Schizosaccharomyces pombe: one gene and its partners. The gene in region 3 interacts genetically with the main gene of each other region. Each region holds a gene or a part of one and is shown on either strand. Other genes may lie near its edges.

Region 1 (9,984 bases), on a different chromosome or scaffold from region 3:
TTACCTTTGTGATGTCCAAGCATTTCTCACTTCACAACTAGAGTATTATTTTTCGATTGAAAACTTGTGCAAAGATATGTTTCTTCGTAAACATATGGACGATGAAGGTTACGTTCCTTTAGCATTTTTGGCTTCCTTCAATCGAATTAAGAGCTTTTCTACAGATTTGAATCTTTTACATGCAGCTTGCAAGGCTTCAGATATTATTGATGTTGCTATTGATCTCCAGTCTCCTATGTCCATTAAGGTTAGAAGAAAGGAAACTTGGTCTCCTTGGATTTTACCTTCAGAGTCACGCTTGAAGTTTGAAATGGCCAAGTATCCTCAGATAAACTCTAGCTCCAGCATGTCCCCTCTTGCCAGTTCCATTTCAAATTTGACAATTTCTCCTCCATTCATTCCTTCTTCTGTGGATTCAATTATAAAAAGAGATGTTCAAACTGAGGTTGAGGATAAACTTACTGTTTAGAATTTTTGATATTTTTTTTATTTCTCGAGGCATCAATATTTTTCGTTCATTCTGGGTCTGTTCTTTTATTGACGCCTGTACTTTTTTTTATTTAAAAGGCAAGGATTGTTTATTGAAACTTGACTTCTATAGTTTGGTTTTGGTTACTGAAGCGTAATGGGTTTATTTCTTTCGGTTAAAAGAAAAAAAAAAAAAAAAAAAAAAAAAGAAAATATTGTACTTATTATAAGAGTATATGTCGTTTTCGATAAATGGGATTACTGGATTAAATGATTATCTAAAGTGATGTGTCATTTATGCTAAATTCTAATTTTTTTTTACTTAAAAAAAATCATTGTTTATGATTTGCATATAGTTTCTGTTATTATTTTCAACTGTGATACGCTGTAACTTCATGCTTCCTGATTATATCTTCCAAATCACTGGCTCCCTTTATTATTTTGTCATGGCAAAATTTTGTGAGTTTAATATGTTTTCTGTAAAGTAAATTTACCATTTGTACCTTGATGCTTCAACTCATAATGTACTCGTCTTTACTTTAAGCTATTCTATATTTAAAGGCCGCAGGGACATGAAATGAATAATAGAAGAGGATATTTCACGAAAAATCTTTAATTGATCGTTAAAAAAAAGGTCTCTGGTGTGTGTGGCAGTAGCATCTTCCTTCTGGCGTTGGATTACTACAAATACTGATTAGCTTACATGCAGAATATTAAGAGGTTGTTCAAGTTTTGAAAAAAACTTATTTAAAAGAAGGGCAATTTTTTAGAATAAAAAAGAAAGTTTACCAATAAGTTATCTAAAATTATAAAAGGATTATTTGTTTTACTAGAAGCTAATTTATTGAAATTAATTGAAAATCACTTTATTTATTCCTGTTGGGCATTCAGGTTTAATAGAATGTGACCCACACGATTAAAGTAATTTTTAAGTAGTTCTCTAAGTTGATCATCAAGGTTCTCCTTTGCAATCATAGAACAACAAGAAAAGTAAAGAGTGTGAATGTTTTCGGAAAATAATTCTAAAGGAAGATTCAGTATACTGTCCAGGATTGTAGCAATGACAGGCTGCCATGCAGCATGGTTACGCGTATGTTTCTCAACAACCAAGGAAGCATACATATCCAGCATTTCGGCACAAACCGGAAAAAGAAGTTTATGAATTTTCTGATCCGTTTCTGTTTTACCTAAAGGGTCTCTGGTTTTTAATAAGCGGAAGAGCAAAGTGATGTACAACAATGCACTAGCCGTTTCTTGTCTCAATAAATTAGGGAGTTGCTTCATAAATCCAACGTTCAAAAGCGTAATACGTAAAGATTTGTCTTCATTAAACTTGCGAGCAAACTGCCATGAGTCGTAAATAGCCACAGTTATTTTCAATACATGTTCATGGGGGATATGATTAAAAACTTCCTCGTTATCTAACAATTCAGCAACAATACTTATTAAAAGTAGTTGAAGAATACATTTTCGAATCATTGAACGGAACTCCATCTGTTTCTCAGGGGAAATTGAGGATGTCGAAATTGAACGAGAAGTTTCCGGTAGAGAACCGCCTCGCTTATGGCTCAATTGAGTATTTTCATTTTCGGAGTAAACAGGGGCTCCTTGCCCATTGGAAAATGTTTCTAGAAGAAGAAGCTGATGAGGGGTGGTTTCCTTGAATAACTCAATAAACATATCAGCGACCAGATTCCAATCTTTAACTTCAAACCTATACGCATTTCCAGAAAGTAGCTGCTGCATACAATTTGTTCCTATGCGAGAAAGTGTAATATTATCTCTACAAATGCAATTGCTAAATAACCATAGATAACCTTTTAGCAAATTGTGAAGTTTGTCAAAACGGCGTGTTAACAAAGTGACGAGACTTCGTAACGCTTCAACAAGAGTAGTAGATTGCCAAGTCCTGATCTCCTCATCCCTTAACATAACAGTCGCTTCATCCGCTTCTGGTCCAAATATTGAGAATATCGGGAATATAAATTTTCGTGAAACAACTTCCCAAGTTTCTTCAGTGAAATCATCAGACTCTTCTAAGAATATATAAAATAAGTTTTGAAGAGCTCTTGACCTTACTTCCAAGTCTTCAGCTGACATTATTATATCATAATATGCAAATAAAACTGGGAAAACATATTTAGAAAATGTCTCATTTACTGAAGGCTTGGAACTAAGTCCTTCCTTTATCATAGTTGAAAGACTTGAATAAACTTCTCTAATAATTTCCAAACTTTGTAAAGAGATTTTCTGGTTTGTTCCATTTTTGCATAATTCAGTGAAGGATATCAACATATCTATCAAACAATTTTGCTGCATTAAAGTATCATAATGCTCGGAAAAAAGATTGACAAGGGTATCAAAAGTCATAGAAATTAATATTTCGCTTCTAGCCTTAGCCGCAAATGTAAAAACGCCAAACAAAGTTTTCCATCCAGATTTTATTTTGGAAATTTTAGCTTGAATCATTTGCTTAACACATTGTAAAACAAGTTCTTTGACTTCTACTACGGTATCGGAAGCCATAACGTACTCAAATGGCTTAAGGAATTCTTTCTGAAAGGAAAAGAGAGACAACTCCTCAATTTCGAGAAAATGCATAGAAAGCTGCCTCAGGGAATCCAATGCAAAAACAGCAACATGCCTATTCTCATCACTACCCACCATGTTGAAGAATCTACCCAAAACGTTCCAAATTGATGACCATTCCACTCTAATCCTTTGCATGTTATAATAGGATATCTCAACCAGCTTTTGTAGACTATATAGCCTTGGCTGCTCCAAATCACTAGAAGATGTTATTTCATCCCAAGAAACTTCACATAATGCTTTAAAGAATGATACTATCGCAGAGCCAGAAAGAGAAGATGTTTGGGTAAATATTCTATCAATGCTCAACACTACCTCAGTGGACATTAGTTCTGAAACTGCCTCTGGGGATAAAGGTTTAGATAGTGAGCGAGTTCTAGTCGAACGAGAAGTACTTCCACTAACATGCCGAATTGAGTTTGAAGAACCAATGTTCACATTCTTTCGACGAACACGTGCATTTATAACATCAGGTACTTCTGTTTCATCGACACCAACACCAATCAGTTGCACGCGTTCTAGTTGACTTATAATAGTAAGGATATCTTTCCAAGAATCTTTCAAATTATTACCTTCGGTAGATGCAATTCTCAGTAATGTTTTTATAACCATAGTATTACGTAATTTGATTTCACTGGTAGAATGCAGATTAGTAAAATTAGTCAGAGTTTTTATAAAAGCGTCTCGAATAAGGTCAAGGTCAAAGAGACAAGCTATACGGACAACAAGCTGAAATCCATCAAGACACATATTAAGTTCATTAACATAATCAGAATTTTGTAAAGGGTTTGAAAGAGCAGCAAGTATAGGCATCCAAGTAGCCTCAAGCATGGGACCTATATGTTCAAAATGAGTAGCATTGTAATAAACATTTGTTTTTTGTGATCCATGTTTCTGTTGATACAATAGCTTTTTTAGCACACTTGTAGCCTTATTAGCCATTTCCTCCGAAGCTTGAATACAAGCTACTCTTTGCAGATCTCGTCCATTAGAAGTAAATGTGGTGAATCCACTAGATGTGCTGAAATTATTCATTAAAGGAGCAATCGCTGCGAGTTCTTGATCATCTTTCATAGCAATTTCATTTTTAAGAATGTCATCATATACAAAACCAAGATAGTCTTCATCTAAATCAGCACCGTCATTAATTCCACGATTATTTTTAATGAAGTCTTCTTTTGTCATTTTGTTTTTAATACGAGGAGAATGCAAATCAGTATTAAGCAATATTATAGAATAAGCAAGAATGTAGGCAGTATCAGCATTAGCGAATGCAGACGGATTCTCCTTCATATACCTTTCGGAAAATTTCAGCATAATTCGATCAATTTTTTGGGCTTCACCGGGTAGTCTGAAACACTGCAATAGACGACGTAAAGCGTCTACAAACTTTAAATTTATAAAAGATAAACAATCAATAAATTCATGCATCACGGAAATACTTTTCTCATCCCCTTCTCCTAAGTAATCTCCTAAAGTAGTTTTGTCAATACCATCAGCACGAAACAGAAATTCAGCGATAGCTTTAGGATCATTTATGTCAACATATTCATTTTCTGAAAGCATCTTAAGACCTCTAGTAGGTTTGTAATTGAACTTGTTTATACAAGTCCGTAATAGCTTCTTTCGTTGTTTGTTTGATTCAAATTGTGAAGGATCTGCAAGTGCGATAGAACTACTGCTATGGGAATTTGCTTCAAACGATTGTTTTCCGTTATAATAAGGATTCGTCACAGGAGTATCAGACCTGGAAAGCGCATCATAATCTCCAACAAAACCTTGCTCATCCGTTGACACACCTCGGCGAGATAAATAAAGACCACTTTCGGCCCAATTTGATAAAGATTGCAAAATGTCAAGGACGCATTGCAAAGTCTTTAGCTTCAATTGAAAATCGCTAAATGTGGTAAGTTGAACCACTTCGGACTTTAACGAAGCAGAGTTCGTATTTAGAAAAGGGGTACTACTCCGTTCAGAAGATTCTAAAGAAGGAAGAATTTCTTCAATATCTTCGGATATCGTTTCCGAAGGACCATTGGTAGTAACTTTTGAGATTGAAAACAGCAATTGTTCGAAAACGTTGGTAGTGGAAGAACGATCACAATCGTAATTTATATACAACTCTACAAGAGCTCTTGGATTAAGACAGATTCTCTGGATGATTAACAAGGTATGGAGCTTCTGATTGTAGGAGGTGTTCTTGAGGTCTAACATCGGAAAATAAACTTCTCGAAAAAACACTTCAATTTCCTGTTTGAAGTGGGCACGCAAAGAAAAAACCATAAGATAAAAAATGTCACAACAGACTTCAAACACCTGGGGAACAGGACTTACAGCATTGCGAGATAATACTAGGCAAATATATTGACGGGAGGCATGAACAAGGGTCATTCCTTTAAGTGCTGGGATACCACGAAATTGGAGAGTAGGATCCATGAATAAGTCACTATTTTTTTCTAAAATGCGATATATAAGATGGAGACTAATTAATTTCGCGCGCATAGCTTGAGATCTGATATTACTGACTTTATCAGGCGAGGTTTGTCTGACAGCAAGTCGACACATGGATCGGAACACTAAAAACGCGTCTTGGATAGAGGAATTCTCAACACTGGTGACAGCTGGGTCATCTGCGTCAACTTTAACATGATCTAATGATGAAGTGCCAGCAGATGCCATAGAATGAAGAGTAATTTTCTTGTCAGGCTCATCCTCATCGTGAACCCAATTTTCCGTCACCGATGCATCTTCTTCCGGTAAAGCAGATGTAGAGTTCGACTGAGTGTGGCTCGCGCGTAATCGTTCATAGACTACAGTGACAGCCTGAGTCAAAGAAGCTTGAGCAACTGACTGTATAGTATCACTATCCCCGAGAAGAAAGACATTAAAGAGTTTACGAACAGAATTCAATAATATCGCTCCATGAAGCATACTATCCTGCTCAGAACATAAGATAAAGGCAGATAAAGCTTTTACAACATTCAATTGCAGATTTCCATCAACAACTTCATCATTGATACTATCGCATACCATATCAACCATACACTGTAGAAGGGATTTAGGGGGCCCAAATGAGGCAGGTGTTTTATCTTTTGAAGAAAAATAGGCGAATGAAGCAAGTTTAGAAATAGTGTCTAAAGAAATGTTCATAACTTCATCTTGACTGGATTCAAAGCAGTACTGAAATAACTCTACTATCAAAAATTTGTCAAACTGACATTCGGTTTGTAGAAGAGGTTTTAGTTGCTCCATTAAATTCTTCATCTTCTCGTTCTTCATACAAACTTTTATTTGTATAAGCTGCTCGATGCACTTTATAAGCACTACATGAGTGGATTTTTCCAAATTGGTTAAACCTGATTTTTGCTTTTCCAAACTGGCCCTCGATGCAGCGTCAGGTACAGGCGTCGCGATAGTTTCATTGGATTTTTTGTCGTCTTTCAAGTCTTCTTCTTGATATTTCTGCTCGATTCCTTCGGGACTCTTTTCGTTTTCTTGTTTCGCTGGCGACAACGACGAATCTTCTGTATTTATATCAATACTTACCACAGCATCGCCTTCTAAACTTTCAGAAGCAACACGACCGAGATCCATACCATTTTCATCATCTTCGTTGTCAGAATCATTAATAATTTTAGTAACTGATGTTGTTCCAACTTCTGGAAGATCTTCGTGTCTGTCATGTTGCTCATTCACGGAGTTCATAGGCAGAGCAGGCATATTGATCACAGGTTCAGAGGCATCCTGCATTTTGGCATCGGTCACGTTCAAGCCAATTGCCGTCTAGACGAGCCAACTTTTAGCAATGAAATATAAGGCGGAGTATGTCTTTGCTAAGTGTTTTCGGCCTTAATGTGTCGAACGTTAGATCTCGGTTCAATGTGCTACTTATATAAAGCAAACGAGCGAGACTTATAATAAATTGTTTTATTACAGTATGGATTAAATAGTAAACATTATAACTAGATTTATACAATATTCGTTGTTTTACTGAAACTTTTATTGTCGATATTGACCGTGAACGTTTTCTTATTTCTTTTTTACAGGACAGCATTCCTTAAACTGTAAAAGGATTAAGGAATTAAACAAAATGTACGATTTCTACCATTTTAAACATGTTCTAAAAAAAAGAAACAAACAAAGTTAAGTATTAATATTAGGCTACATTTTTTCGTCCCCTTAAAAATCCCAAAAAAAAATATCATAAAGTTTAAGAAAAGGATATCAGTCCAAGGTTTCAAATTGACCATTTAAAAATTCGACAAACATTTCCTTGAGAACATTGGTATTATATGATTGTTGCCGGTTAATTTGGATAAATTGACGGCGCAATCTTTGAAGTAAAGGAAGAGATACTGTAACACTGGGTAATGCGATTTGAAGTTTGCTCCCTGGTACAGTAATCAAGGAGGTATCGTTGGAATTATCCAGTATAAGCATGATTACGTCTTGAGTAGTTTTATCTAATTCATATAAATAGTTGACTTCAGCTGGAGGTTTTACCATTGTAGCTTGGTTAGGCTTGACATTTTTGTTATGAATAAGAACTGACCAGATGTCATCGATAGGACAAGAAGCATCATCGTGCAAGACAGTAAATAAAGGGGAATCCCATCGTGTCATTCCATTCGGTTCTTCATAACGAAACATTAATTGCTCAAGAACATCGTCAGGATACGGCTGTTCCTTGTTACTATTGAATTTTCGACATAAATCTTGAGGAACAGCAACATGAATCACACAATGAGTTGTGTACATAGACTTTGATTCACAATATAACTGGTATCGAAATCCTTTTATGTAATTCAAGGCATCGCAAATTACGAATGTAGATTTTGAAAGTTCACGCTGAACAGCAGAATAGAGAAGGCCACGAGCGGCCTTTTCGTTCTTGGACTCTAAGACAAATTAGTTACCAGAATTACGAAAAATTGCATATACGGATTCTCCCATCATCTAGAGTAGCTGGGCACAATCTGAAGCCAAAAATGAATTGGCTAATTTCCAAAAACTAAATCATTAAAGATAACTATTTAAACATACCTCGATATGTTTCTTTTTCAATGTTTAAACTCTCATCGTTTATTATTATCACCCGATAATCCTTTGTATTGTCGATATTTTGATGAATTCGATCTTCTAAAGCCTTTTTAAGTTCATTTGACCTCGTTGTTTTCCCTGAAGATGGATAACCTGAAACAATTATTAATGGCATTTTCTTTATGTTCTACAAAATAGAAGGTTGAATAAAATCAGCCGTAAAACATATGTTTGAAAACTTCCAGCTTTTTTTTGATATATTTTTTCATGAATTTAACGAAAATTACTAGTTCGTTAAACATTAGTAAACAGTTAATTTTTATCCTTAATTTGTATTTCGTAATGCGCTCAATTTCGGTACTGACTTATTACTTACGACTAGTAAGTATTGCTTAGGCTTAAAAACACAGTAATTTCAATTTGCGGTCTCTTTAATTTAATCTTGCTTCCCTTTACCTTATCAATTGTTCTAAAAGAATTAAGGATTAACACTAGTAAGACCCCGGATTTTAATCGCTAAAAAAACATGCACGCCTTCTACGCAATCAGGGTTGTTCAATTTAAAAATAGTAATCATTTGTTGAAAGATTTTAAAGGTGCATAGGACATCAAGAAATATAAGCTAAATGCAGTTGATTAAAAGTTAGAAAAGTATCTACTTATGCCGCCATTAACATGTATCTGGTAAAATGCGACTAACTTATAACACATGTTGTATACCAGTCCAATGATTAATTTAGTACCCTGGAAAACGTCTTGAATATTGGGTAAAGAAAAATCAGAACTTAAAGAAACCTAGGCTGAAATATTTTTTTTTTAAATAACTATTCAGTTTGCCAGAGAGTGTAACAAAATTAAAGAAAGAGAAATATAATTGCATTCATCATAGGACTGCCAGTTTCATAGCAAATAAGCAGACCTAATATTAAAAAAGCAATTTTATCGGCTCAATTTTAGTCAAGCGTACAGCTGGCAAATAAATTGTTAGCAATTTAAACCAATTTATGTATCCGAAGATCATAAACAACTGCATATGTCAGAAATAAACTATCAAAAAAAAAAAAAATCCACGTAAATTTCATACCGTCCTCAGATCTTTTCAAATCATATTTTAATCCATCGAAATGTCTTCTTAAGGAGTCGTTTTTCAAAGAGAGTACTTGAAAAGAAGAATGAACTTTTTGAATAGTATTTAGGGCCTCAAATGGAATATGATAGTTTCCAGATATTACTGAGTTTACAGATTGACGAGCCTAGAAATTGTGTCAATTTGGATTGTTGAATAGAATATATACCAGTTCAGAACACAGAGATAGTACTGCGTGCAAATATTGCTCAATTGAAAGATGAAAAGTGGACTCTTCTGGAAAAACCGGGACTGAAGATTGTGAGAAAAATGTAAAATAATTTACGCACCTTGCAAAATTTGACCAACTTCGGAAAGCGATAGAAGGCTGTACGTGGGTCTTAAACTTTTATCTAAACGACCGGTCCAGGAAGCTAGCAAATATAAATAAACAACTTTCTGAATTGATCGATCCCAGACTCCGTTATATTTATAGTATGGAAAATTCGATGCCAATTCTGCTAATCCTCTGGTTTTGCTTTTAATGATCTCAAGAGCTTCTAAAATTTCTTCCTGATTTTCTAAATCTTCCAAAGTTAGTCCATGTTCTTTTTCTTGTAAATTTTCATTTCTACTTTGTTCACAGTTTGCCAAGAGAAGTTGCAAAACTCTTAACTTTTCGTCTAACAAATCGACCTCTGCAGTCAGTTTCTGTAATGTTAGTTTGTCATAATTTCCAAGATTAGTACCTCCCGAATACTATGTTCTTTATCAATTTGATCTTGTAGCTGAATAAATATTGATTTATTCATTCGACTTAA
Region 2 (7,014 bases), on a different chromosome or scaffold from region 3:
AGTAATATTCTTGCATTATTACCATCATATTCTCTGTCCACTTTCGTTTGCTTCTTTAACTTACAGTTAGAGAAAATACACTTTAAAATATAATAATGGAAAACAGCTATATTAAAAATCAATATTGGCATAGCAGATCATTCATAGTATTATATAACTTCTTGATATAAAATTGTTTCTTTTTTCATTTATTTGTTCAGCTGTATATGGTAATCCATATTTCGTACTAAGCGCTTCGTCTACCGACGTTGTAGGTTCAACCTTCCATGTACATACCTTCCAACAAAACTTTCTTACATATTGATGGCAAATAGTGGCTTATAGACAGATATTTTAGTTTAACTCATTCTCTAAAAGTAAAATCACTTGCATTCTTTTGAGGTGGTAGAGGTGGTTTAAACTCAAATTGTTAAAAATTTGTTAAAGTATGCAAAAATGAACACCGAACTGGATATGCAGAATTTCGAACATATTAAGTTTCTAGAGAATCAGATTAGTGAGGATCATTTTCGTTGGAAAAAAAATTCGAAACATCTATACAACTTACTAATAACCCGTACTTTAACATGGCCCTCTTTAAGTATCCAATGGCTCTCAGCAATGGAATCGATCACTGAAAAAGCGGTTTTAAAAAACCGTCTTCTCCTAGGGACTCATGCCGCTGAAGGGATGCCAAATTTCTTGCAGCTTGCAGATTTAGATTTACCTGATTTCAATCAAACTATATTGGATCCAGTAAAACACTACAATGAAGATACTGGTGAGCTAGGAGGCTATAGTATGCAACATTCTTGCAAGTTCCAAATCTCGCAACGAATTCTTCATAATGGCGATGTAAATCGTGTTCGACACATGCCTCAAAACCCAAACATCATAGCTACTATGAGCTCTTGTGGAAATGCATATATATTTGATCGGACAAAATATACTTCAATGCCCGCTGAAGAATTTTTACCAAATATCTCTTTGATTGGGCACAAAAAAGAAGGGTTTGGACTATCTTGGAATCGTCAGCAAAATTGCCGACTTGTAACAGCTGCTAATGATTCGAAAATTTTAGAATGGGATCTAAATAATTTTAGCCGTGATACGAGGTGCTTAACTCCCGTAAAGGATTTTCATTATGATGATTCTCCGGTTAATGATGTTGAATATCATCCGCACCACACCAACTTATATATTGCTGTAAATGATAATGGAATTGCCTTTATTTGTGATAACCGACTTCAACAAACATGTTCGAAAACAGTTAAAGCTTCAAATCCCCTTTTTAGCGTCAGACATAATCCTTCAATTGCGACTTTGTTTGCTTTGGGGTCTGAGCAAGATTTACAGCTTTGGGACCTTCGGAACTTAAATAAATCGGTTTTTAACACTTCTGAAGACTTATCAGATAATAGATTAAAAGTGCCTTCTAGACTAACTCTAGGAGGCACCAGTTTGTCATGGAGCTGGAGACACTCTGGTCGGATTGTTAGTGCCTGCCAAGAGTATTGCTATGTGTGGAATTTTAACAAAGCTAATCCTTTGGAGTTTGTGCATGCAGGTCATAAAGGTACGGTGAATGAAGTGGACTTTGATCCGTTTGAGGCACAATGTATTGCTTCGGTTGCTGATGACAATGAATTACACATTTGGAAGCCCAATGTTATTGTTAATTAATAAATACTTACATCCATCACACGAGGTAATACAAAGTTTTAAGTTATACAGCAATTAATTAATTGCAATTTTGATGGGTATGTTGCAGGGCTATATTGTATTCATTCATCTTCAAATTTGCTCAACGTGTACATTAAAATTACCTAATGACATAGAGATATTTCATTACTAATGAAAAGATAATTTTTCACTCACTAATCGTCCGTTCGGTAATCAAGGATTTCCTACTTATGTTCTTCAATGTATTTCCTATAAAGTAGTATTAGTAAATATATTCCAAACACTCGCTATAGAGCAATAGCTTTACTTACAAAATGAATTCTTCTTCTTCTTTGCTTTTGGCATTCAAAGGAGGAACATCCTTTGCGCTAAGTGGCTTATTTCTTTTAAACAATTTACTATAGATCACAGGACCAACAAATACTGAACCGAGAACAGCTAAACTCAACTATGTTCATTGTTAGGTGTACGGAATTTGAAAAATACATACTTGATGAGCTTGGAATTGACGACCTGCAATTGTATAAACCGACATAATGCTTATATTTAATAGTGAATGATTGAATCAAGAGAAGGGAGGTAAAGGTTTAACACGGTTAGCAGCGAATATGAAGCCGACTGTAAACTTAGCAATCAATATATTCGTTAAATTAGCTTAACGAAAAATAAGGAATACAGTTATCACTTCAAGTACATATAAAATTGCAATAGAATCAACTACATGAAATTAGGAAGTTAGCTAGCTTTTGCCTTTTATATGAACTACTTCAAATTAGCAGATAAATAGTAAAAAATGTGATTATAGACATTTTGTTTGCATTTAGTACGTTTGCTAAACGTAGAGAATGTACAGGTGTTTCACAGCAAATTTTTAATTAACTGACTATTCTTTTTAAATATCTAAATTTTTCAATCATTCATCTTGCTGCGACATTGCTATACGCTTTCAAACCATATTGTTTAGTTTACAGTACCCAATGTGTATTTATTGCGAAAAGCATCGCTATAACAGCATATTCTTGGGACGCACTTCAGTAAACTGTGTTGTAGTTCGCTACTCCTCAGTATATTTGATACCTTGCATTAACAATAGGAACTATACAGGTACTGGACTACATACCATCTTTTCATATCAGTTACGATGTTACGGCCTCTGTGGCCTCTCTTTCTTACTGCTTTGTTTTTAAACATCTATAGAGCTGCCAGTGTTTTAATAGATGAAGCAGGGAAAAACGATTTCGAAATTTCTCTACTTGGTAAAGTTAATGACCTAGTTTATGACACCAAAAATGAATATCTGTATGCCGTTTCTCAGAAAGGCTTATTGGCGAAATTAAATGCATCAAACGGAGATGTGATTTGGCGCCAATCCATTGCACCTGAAACTAGTCAACTCAACTATAACCCAGTCACTAACTTTATTATCACCGTGGACAAAGATTATTTGTATATTTGGAATTCCAAAAATGGTATTTTGGACAGAAAAATTGAGCTCGCTGATGGAAAAGGTAAATTATTTGAGGTTAATAAAGGTTTTGTTTACCTCAATCCTCATACTCGCAAGTTCATAGAGTTGGATTTGCAAGCTTCATTTTCTATTTCAATTGAAAGGGATTTACAATTAGATGCTATTTCCTTTTTGACTTATGCTGAGAAAAACTACGTCTTGTTCAAGAGGGATGGTCAATTTGTTCTACAAGCTTTAGATCACAATTATGCTGTTTATGGACCTGAAACTGTTCTTAATGTTCCTGAAAACGCACAATTATTAGTCACAGAGAAAGATGTTATTATTTACTCTTCCAACGGTGTTATTTACGGTATCCATGTTTCTATGGCAGATATTTCTCAACTGCTTATAGATGAATATAAAACATTCGAATGGTCTAGTATACCTGGTAAGAGACATGGCTATTCAATTACAGTCGATTCTCAATCCACCCCAGTCACTTACCTCTTTGTTATCATTGATAGCGAATTTGTTTTGATTGATGAGTATATACATGAGGACACCGAAGCTCTAGGATATATCCATATGGAAGATAACCAAACATTTTCTCGAGTGTTTGCAGTGGCTAATCAAATTAAATTCGCACCAGCCACAGTAATTACCATTCCCAACCAGCTTTCTAGACCTGTATTCCGTTTATTTACATTTGCTGAGGGAGAAATTTCCGCAATTGTAATTTTGGACGACGGAACTTTCTTTTCATTTTCGAATACCGAATTAGTTTGGAAGCGGGAAGAAGCATTGGCATATGCTATCAATCCCTCTATTCTTCCAACAACTTTATTGACAAGCTACCAGAAATCCATTCAAGATGAGGAAAATTCATCGGTCTCTTTCTTAAATCGATGGTACCGTCATTTTAATCAACTCATAGATTTCTTGAAACATCCTCATGGTTTTACTTCATCCTCAGTATTGGATGATGCTTTTACCACGAAAATTATTATACCAACATCAACAGGATCTATATTTTGTTTATCCAGCGACCCTAAACAAGTGCACAGGATATTATGGCGCTATGATTTTAATATTAACCCGGAAAGTGTTGAATCTTGGCTATTGGATATTTCAGACGAAGATCCAAAATTTGCTTTTGTGCACCAGTGGAATGATGCTTTTAGCTTTTATATTTTGAATGCATCGGATGGGTCCGTGATATCTCAAAAATCTAGAGACTTTAAAGCTGACGAGTTTTACTACGTTGATAATATCTCCAAAAACTTACCTAATCAAATATTTGCCGTAAAAGATTATAAGGTTTTACCCTTGACCGGTGATAACTCAATATTCGAAAAAATTTCTCAAGAAGCCAATTCTATTTTTGTTTACACTTCTGAAACCAAAGTCGAAGGGTTCAGTATTTCTGCTGACCTTACAATGGATGTTCAATGGTCGTACAATCTAGCCGAGGGTGAAATAGTTATTGCTTCTATACGTCGTAATCCTCACGAAATAGTGGCTTCTTTCGGTCGTGTTTTGCAAAACCGTGAAGTAATGTACAAATATTTGAATCCCAATTTATTTGCGTTATTTTCAAAATGCAAAAACGATTTAGTCGTCTATGTAATGGACTCCGTTACCGGTTCTATAGTGTATCAGAATAAACACCAAGGAATAATATTGTTCGACAAAGTTTATGGAGTCTTCTCCGAGAATTGGCTTGTTTATAGTTATCAGAGCGATGTGCCTAATTTGTCTACCAAGATAATATCAGTTGAGCTTTTTGAGGGATCTCACTCTAACGAAAAAATCGACAGCAACGAAATATATTCTCGTCATAATGATTACAGGCCCTATGCGTTCACTAAAGCATATATATTCGATAGAGAAATTACGACTTTGGGTGTCACCAACACTCCGCAGGGCATCACCTCGAGAGATGTTTTACTTGGCCTATCAAGTAACCAAGTTGCAATGATTCCACAAGCTCTTTTGAGCCCTATGCGCCCAGTCCTTAGACCTAATGAAAAAGCAAATGATGCGTCCTTTATCCCATACGAACCCATTATACCATTGAACGATGATATGGTGTTGTCTTACAACAAGCGCGTGTACGGAGTATCTCAAATCACTTCTGGTATTACTAATTTTGAAAGTACGACGTTGGTTTTATCAACCGGACTTGATGTTTTTTTTACCAGAACAGCTCCAAGTATGCCATATGACATGCTCAGTAGCCATTTTGATAAGAAACAACTTATGTTGACCACTTTTGGCATTCTGCTCGCCGTTCTGTTAACAAAGCCTTTGGTAAAGAAAAAGCAGCTTAATACCAAATGGTACAATTAAAAACACCATGGAGAATAAAAATATACTTGATTAGATTTGCTACAGATTATATAGGAATAATAATTCTTGGATAAAACACTAGTTTACTTGTATTACTTGTTTACTCAATAGTTTAAAAAAAAAATATTAATCCCCATGAATATATATAAATTAATATCGAACGCGTTTATCCCATAATAATAATTTTTTTTTCTTTTCAAAAAATTAACCTTTTTAACACTTTTAATGTTCGCAATCAAAAACAAGTAATTCGGTGTCATCAGAACCGGTTACAACACGTTTACCATCTGGAGTAATAGCCATACACAAGATAGGCTCTTGATGGCCTGTATACTCGCCAAGTAATTGGCCAGACCGAACATCCCATTTTCGAATAACACAATCCGCGCATGCAGTCAACAAATATGGAGTGTTGGGTAAAAACTTACAATCAATAACCGCTTGTTCATGGGGAAGGGATTTTCTAAACTTAAGGGATGCAGAATCGTAAAGCGCGACAGTACCATCGACACTAGCACACGCACATATAGGTAAGGCCGTGCAAAGTGCGATAGCTTCTACACTTTCAGTTTGGGCCTCCAAAGAAGCAAGAATATGACTACTATTAATGTTGACAACTTTTACTTTTCCTGACGAACCTCCTAAGAAAAGAACGTTACCTTCAGCATTACAGTCGAAGCTGGTCCAACCGGCGGCAGTTTCTTCATTACCAGGATCAAAGCGATGATCATCACTAGACATTCTGCATTCTGGTGCTCCAGTAGCCGGGTTCCAAACAATTAATGTACCAGAATCATCTACGGTTGCTAAACGCTTGCCAACACCGGGTGGGATGAATTTTCCAGCATTTACAGGTGCCGTATGGCCATACATAACCTGAACCACCTTACCAGAGGGAAGACTCCACATCCATATACTTCCGTCATTACAACCGGCGGCTAAGAACAAGCCCTTAGGGTGCCAAGATAACCAAACAATTTCGTCCACAGTTTCAAAAGCAGTAATGAACTCAAAACCTGTACTGGATTTCCACAATCTGACTTGACTATCCATACCACCAGTAGCAATATAAGTTCCATCAAAGCTCCAGTCTATAGCTACTATGGAGTCTTTATGTCCTGTCAATTGACATATTTGTTCACCGGTAGTAATGTCCCATATATACCCTAGGTCATCTCCTCCACCAGACGCGCACAGATTTGAATGCACTGGATTGATAGAGACGCTGAATACAGAGTCTTTATGCTCGAAAAAACCTTGAACAGACATGTCCATAACCATGTTATTCATAGTATCGTTTTGTTCTTGCTCAGCTTCGTCCTCTGTGACACCTTGGTCCATTAGTTTGTCATTATCTTTAATAACTTCTTCTACTTCATTTTCTGCTATGTATAATTCTTGATTTTCTTCTTCTTCGGCCATTATTAATGTGGGTGTGTACCAGCTAAAAAGCTTTGCAAAGGTCAAGCTTAGTAAGGAAATCAGTATGTATGTAATTTTACTTAGGTAATAATATATTAATTTTATTCATTATATATACATATAATAAAAAT
Region 3 (5,683 bases):
CGTGGAGATGGACCGTTGGGGATTGGAGCGTTGTATCGTAAGCGAGAATAGTGTAGGGTGGGTTCAGCAACGGTGAGGGAGGTAATGTGAGTTGGAGTGAAAGATAAGGAAATGGAAGGTGGTGCGATGGAGGTACGATGTAGGAGTTTAATAAAAAGATGAAGGGTAGTGCGTTGGAATGTGTTGTTAAGATAGACGAGGAGGGAGTGTGTGTGTGAGTGTGGTTGAATTAGAATTCGTATGTGTGTATTTGAATTTGAATTTGACTTTGTATTTGAATTTGAATTTCAATTTCAATTTGCATATTTTCAAGTATATTGCTGATTAATCATTTGTCATGAAAACATCAAAAGAATCAACTCAACTTTTTTTTTTCTCTTGGATGTTTTTCTTGTTTTTTTCTTTTTTGCATCAATGAATTAATTCTTTTCTAAATTTTTTATTTATTCAATTTTTTTATTTATTTTAAATCCTCTTCTCTCTTCTATCCTTGTTTACACTCTCTCAACTACAGACAACATTGTTACCTAATGCCCCCATACACTATATATACACACACACCTCTACCTTCGTTCTTCCTTAAACAACGTATTCATTATATTCCTTGTCCAACATGTTTACCTGGTAAAACACACCGCTAGTTGACACTATCTATACTGACTGATGCTGTTGGATGGTGATTTCTAGTTTAGTTTTTCTAATTACAACAATATATTTTCCTTAGTGGAAATGCTTTGAGTAACTTCTTTTCATTTTCATATATTCAGACTAAATAGGTAAGCTCGTCTTTTGCATGCAGGAAACTGAAACGACAAATGTTGGATTGCAAGGATGCTTAATCATCTGATTTAATGAGCCTGATGGTCTTGACAACCAAAATGCTGTCAACTTTGATTACTGAGCAATTTACAAACGAATGTCAAAACTCTTTTTTTGTCTTTTTCCTGGTTCAGACAATTAGTTTTTCTTAACTCCTTTTACTAATTCTTTTTTTTACTAGTCAAGCTTCTTTTTTTTTTATAGTTTATTTAAAACCCCAACGTTGCTACTCTGGTATTGCCGTGGGTTGAATAAAATTGTCCGTCTCATGAAACGCTAAGACAAGCCATGTTTTTTATAGTCATTATGAATTAATAATAATAAAAAGAAATATAAAAAGATGAAAACATTTTAAAACGATATATGTTTTTCCCTTGGCGTAGACACGTTCGTATATAATTAAAAAAATGACACAGAGTGAAACGAGTTTATTACCGCCGATTCGCTGTCGAGTAGTGATGGAAAAGACTTGTCTTGCTTTACTTTACTCCCTGGAATTTCGTTGCAAGTCGTTCATTAACAGATTTTCTCATTATCGTGTTTGGAAAGTGTATACGAAACACAGCATAAAGCATACTTAATCCTCATCCTCGGAAGCGCTGCTGATACCCTCTGCCTGAGCAGAAGAAGCATAATCCCTCTCTTGCGAAGATAGACCCCTCAAAGAGATTGGTTTGCTGGCCGTTTGGGATACTGTAGAGGGGTCGTCTATGGAATTAAATTCCTGATCAAATCCTAGCTCTAACTCTTTGGCAAAGTCATCCAACTCCATGACCTCCATGTCAGGCTCATCGTTGGTATCGGTGGTGATTGGTCCCTTGCTAGATATGGCAGGATATCGAGTATTGCTCGATGAAGGTTTTATTTTTCCATCCTTTGAAGCTTCCAATTCCTTTTCTTTACGTCTCGTGGAATTAGTCGTGACCGCACTTTGAGAGGTCGATTTGGATTCAGAGATTTGGGAATTATCAGATTGAGTGATGGCATTAGAAGGTACAGTTTTAGAGACTTTTGGATTGCGTAAAGCATTTAATCGAGCAATCTCATCAATATGCTCCAGTGTGAATGTCTAATGCCTAATGTTAGTATCGTAGTAGTGACATGAAAACGATTCCTGTTCTATACATACACATGCACGCATGCATACATAGATTTTAACCTCTTTAAAAATAGTATATGGGACAATAACTTACCTTTGTTTTAGCGTTAAAAATTAGTACACAGTCCACATTCCTGGCTCGTTGGCATGAGCCTTCAAATATATGAGGCCTGTCATCATCCTACCAATGAAGATATACATTAGCATTCGTTGATTCAATAACAGAAGCAAATTGATGTTTCAAAATTTGAGGAACCAAAAAGTAAAAAAATGATTTTTTCAAATTTTTACTCCTCATGGAAGAAAAGGGAAACCAACTTTGCTTAGTCAATTTTATAATACTTACAAAAGTTGAAGGAAGACGTAGACGATAGGCTTCCTGAGCCTTTTCTAAAACACCTCGACGAGAAGGGTCCACACTTTCTGGTATAAAATTGTCTATAAACAAAAAAGAAATAAGTATTCTGCCTGGAGAAAGTATGATGTTCATAGTTTGCAACAGAGATATACACTGTCTCTAAAAATAAATGGGCAACGTACATTTAATAGATAAAAGTCCATTTGAATTCTTTGAGAAGCTGGACCCGGGAATAACTTTGTATGATCCCTTCTGTAATGAATTCATGATTGTTTATAATGGTAAAAGTCAGGCCTGTACGAAATTGGAAATTTCGATATAAATCAAATAAATAACGTAAGGTAAGACAGCTCAAGGTTTCTAATTTTAAACCCCAGAAATGTAAGCTACGCAGTTTGGTATCTGGTTTAAGGATACGTAGAACTGCGGTGAGTTTTCCTTGTGGTCTATTATATTACATTACACAGGTTGTATAAGTAGCAACTGAGAATAGGTATTGTATTAACAGGGTTATAATGTTACCTATCACTAATATAGCTCATAACTGAACTGAGGAACGAGGTTCAGTTGGAACTCTATTCATAATATTTCTAAATAGTTGTTATCATCGGGTATCTATGTATATAGACGGATAGTTACCCGTGATTATCAATAAACGGATCTTAGCTAGTATTCCAACATATGACATATAGTGATGCGCAACGTAGTGTATCATAGCGTAGTGTAGTATTGCTGACAAGAAATGAACGATAATGGATAAACACTCAATTTGCTATACCAATTTGCGAGCAGCTATTTTAGCATTCGTAAAAACGAACTTACACAGTGCGCGACCGAGAAAGACGTTGTAGGTTGTACAGTATATATCATTTCGGTACAAGGATGAATCCTTTATTTACAAGATATATATACATTCGAGGACTACCTGCGCACAGTCAGCAGTATGATTGAAATATTATAAAAATTTACTTGCGTTTCTTGTCTTTTAGGTGCATGTCGTAGGGCAAAATTCTCAGAGTATGATGACTGTTAGATTTATTGCTGCTATTGACAACAAAAACGTCACGATCGATTTAAAAATTAGTAAATCAGTAGTCAAAATACATGGTTTTTCTTATTGCTGCGTCAATCTATCATTCATTGATATTTATTAGCTACAGCTCATTTCTTTTTAAAAAATTTACCATATAGCGAATCGCGGGAAATGAACGTTTAACATTTTTAACGAAGTTAGCTTCTAATACATTAATTACGAAGAGCTTGTATAAACAGTTGACTAGTGTAAGCAGGTATATGAGCATTGTGAGCAAAGCCTTTTTGAATAAGATTATGTTTATTATTGTATTATTAATGTACCAAGTTGCATGGGGAAAAAGTCTACGACATTTTCATGAACATTCCATTCTCATTTCTCTACCTCTTGGATTATTATATTAACTTTTCATTTATGGTAAAGCAACATAATCTACGGCTTTACCGTACTCGGTTGTATGGTGTAGCGGTTAGCACGCGAGATTTTGATTCTCGAGATCTGGGTTCGACTCCCAGTACGACCTTTTTGCCAGAGCGAACAGTGAAAGGAAAGAAGCAAGAATTGCTTTTAGACCTGGGTTTGGATTACTTTTTTCGATATCGCCATAGCTTTATTATAAGTAAGGGCTCCTCGATGCGCTAGCAATTTCAAGGCATCGTTCATTAGTGTCTTTGTGAGGGTATATTAGCCGGAGCTGGAGCACATTGAAGCTTAACAGTATCAAAATTTATTTTTTATATTGTAAATCATTTCTACTAAATTATTTACCCACCCTTCATTTTCACGCTTTTCTACCCAACAACGATTTGGTTAATAACGTAAAGCGTACGAATTTGCAAAGCAACGCTTCCGTGGTGTACAGAAAATCGCTATTTTTTAACGAGACAACTTTAAAGCGTAATGCGATATAAAGTTTTTTTAAAGTATCCTTATATATTATTTAGCTAGCGTGGTTAAATTCCCTATTAATTTGCTCATACACTTTTTTTTGTTTCCTTTCCGTAACTTTACTAAACGCATCAACCGCAAATTACAGGTTTTTTAGCTGGGCTAACAAAGGTAATAGAAAATATACACATGGGCCAAACACTCTCAGAACCCGTACTCGACAAACATTCGAGTTCTGGCGGGGATCGATGGCTTCATTTTGGCGTTTCACACATGCAAGGATGGCGTATTTCGATGGAAGACGCGCATTGTGCGTTGCTAAACTTTACGGATTCCAATTCTTCTAATCCTCCGACAAGCTTCTTTGGGGTCTTTGATGGGCACGGAGGCGACAGAGTCGCCAAGTACTGCAGGCAGCACTTACCAGATATCATTAAAAGTCAGCCGTCTTTTTGGAAGGGTAACTATGATGAAGCTTTGAAATCTGGTTTTTTGGCTGCAGACAATGCGTTAATGCAAGATCGGGACATGCAGGAAGATCCTTCGGGATGCACAGCTACCACTGCCTTGATTGTCGACCATCAAGTAATATATTGTGCAAATGCTGGGGACTCGCGAACGGTCTTAGGTAGAAAGGGAACTGCGGAACCACTTTCTTTTGATCACAAACCAAACAACGACGTGGAAAAAGCTCGAATCACGGCTGCAGGGGGATTCATCGACTTTGGTCGAGTGAATGGTAGTTTGGCTCTTTCTCGTGCCATTGGAGACTTTGAGTACAAGAAAGACAGTTCCTTACCTCCAGAAAAACAGATCGTTACAGCTTTTCCTGATGTCGTTATTCATAACATAGATCCAGATGATGAATTTTTAATTCTGGCCTGTGATGGAATTTGGGATTGCAAGAGCTCTCAACAAGTCGTGGAGTTTGTAAGAAGAGGCATTGTTGCGCGGCAGTCTTTGGAAGTAATTTGTGAAAATCTTATGGACCGTTGTATTGCTAGTAACAGCGAGTCCTGCGGTATCGGATGTGACAACATGACTATTTGCATTGTTGCCTTTTTGCATGGTCGTGGTCTTGAGGATTGGTATAATTGGATTACACAGCGCGTCAACTCGGGAGAAGGTCCTTGCGCACCTCCATCTTATGCTGAGTTGCGAGGACCTAACACTATAGCGGATGCAAGAAATCTGCAGTTGGAATATGATCATATAGCTAGCCATGAGTATGGAAGCGGTGATACATACGATAGCGATTCAGATGATGAAACCATTGCCTACGATCGCTATTACCTTCATTAAGTTATTTTCATTGCTTTTTTTTTTAAAGCAATGAAGGGTTTGTTTGTTTGTTTGTTTTCGTATAACATCCTATCTCAGCAAGTTATAACAGGATTTCTCTTCTTTTTTTAATTTTTCATTACTTTCTTTCCTTCCTTCCTTCCTTTTTCCTAAGTTTTTCCAGGCTTTCTGCGATCGTTTTAAT

What was found.
Region 1: mutations in eaf1 (region 3) and sec72 together harm fitness less than expected from each alone (positive genetic interaction), as found in Schizosaccharomyces pombe (one large-scale study listed by BioGRID).
Region 2: mutations in eaf1 (region 3) and emc1 together harm fitness less than expected from each alone (positive genetic interaction), as found in Schizosaccharomyces pombe (one large-scale study listed by BioGRID).

What each region holds. Positions count from the first base shown.
Region 1 is NC_003424.3:4,385,618-4,395,601, forward strand, and holds sec72 (Sec7 domain-containing protein sec72), read right to left. Parts: upstream 6,877-9,984; 5' UTR 6,808-6,876; coding exon 1,339-6,807; 3' UTR 1,225-1,338; downstream 1-1,224. Other genes in the region: slr1 (RNA-binding protein), read left to right, coding at 1-469; kti12 (elongator complex-associated protein Kti2), read right to left, coding at 7,282-7,955, 8,101-8,272; tsn1 (translin), read right to left, coding at 9,090-9,124, 9,182-9,350, 9,393-9,475, 9,514-9,750, 9,799-9,874, 9,913-9,975. UniProt on the Schizosaccharomyces pombe protein: Guanine exchange factor that acts as an activator of arf1 at the trans-Golgi net-work and is thus involved in vesicular budding and traffic between compartments of the Golgi apparatus.
Region 2 is NC_003424.3:2,531,018-2,538,031, forward strand, and holds emc1 (protein Emc1), read left to right. Parts: upstream 1-2,768; 5' UTR 2,769-2,803; coding exon 2,804-5,461; 3' UTR 5,462-5,638; downstream 5,639-7,014. Other genes in the region: CAF assembly factor complex subunit B Pcf3, read left to right, coding at 436-1,662; atp19 (F0-ATPase subunit K), read right to left, coding at 1,887-1,911, 1,974-2,110, 2,153-2,197; ribosome biogenesis protein Sqt1, read right to left, coding at 5,684-6,883. UniProt on the Schizosaccharomyces pombe protein: Part of the endoplasmic reticulum membrane protein complex (EMC) that enables the energy-independent insertion into endoplasmic reticulum membranes of newly synthesized membrane proteins.
Region 3 is NC_003421.2:1,859,371-1,865,053, forward strand, and holds eaf1 (RNA polymerase II transcription elongation factor Eaf1), read right to left. Parts: upstream 2,567-5,683; 5' UTR 2,544-2,566; coding exon 2,459-2,543; intron 2,357-2,458; coding exon 2,265-2,356; intron 2,100-2,264; coding exon 2,013-2,099; intron 1,889-2,012; coding exon 1,397-1,888; 3' UTR 1,097-1,396; downstream 1-1,096. Other genes in the region: serine/threonine protein phosphatase PP2C catalytic subunit Ptc2, read left to right, coding at 4,387-5,499.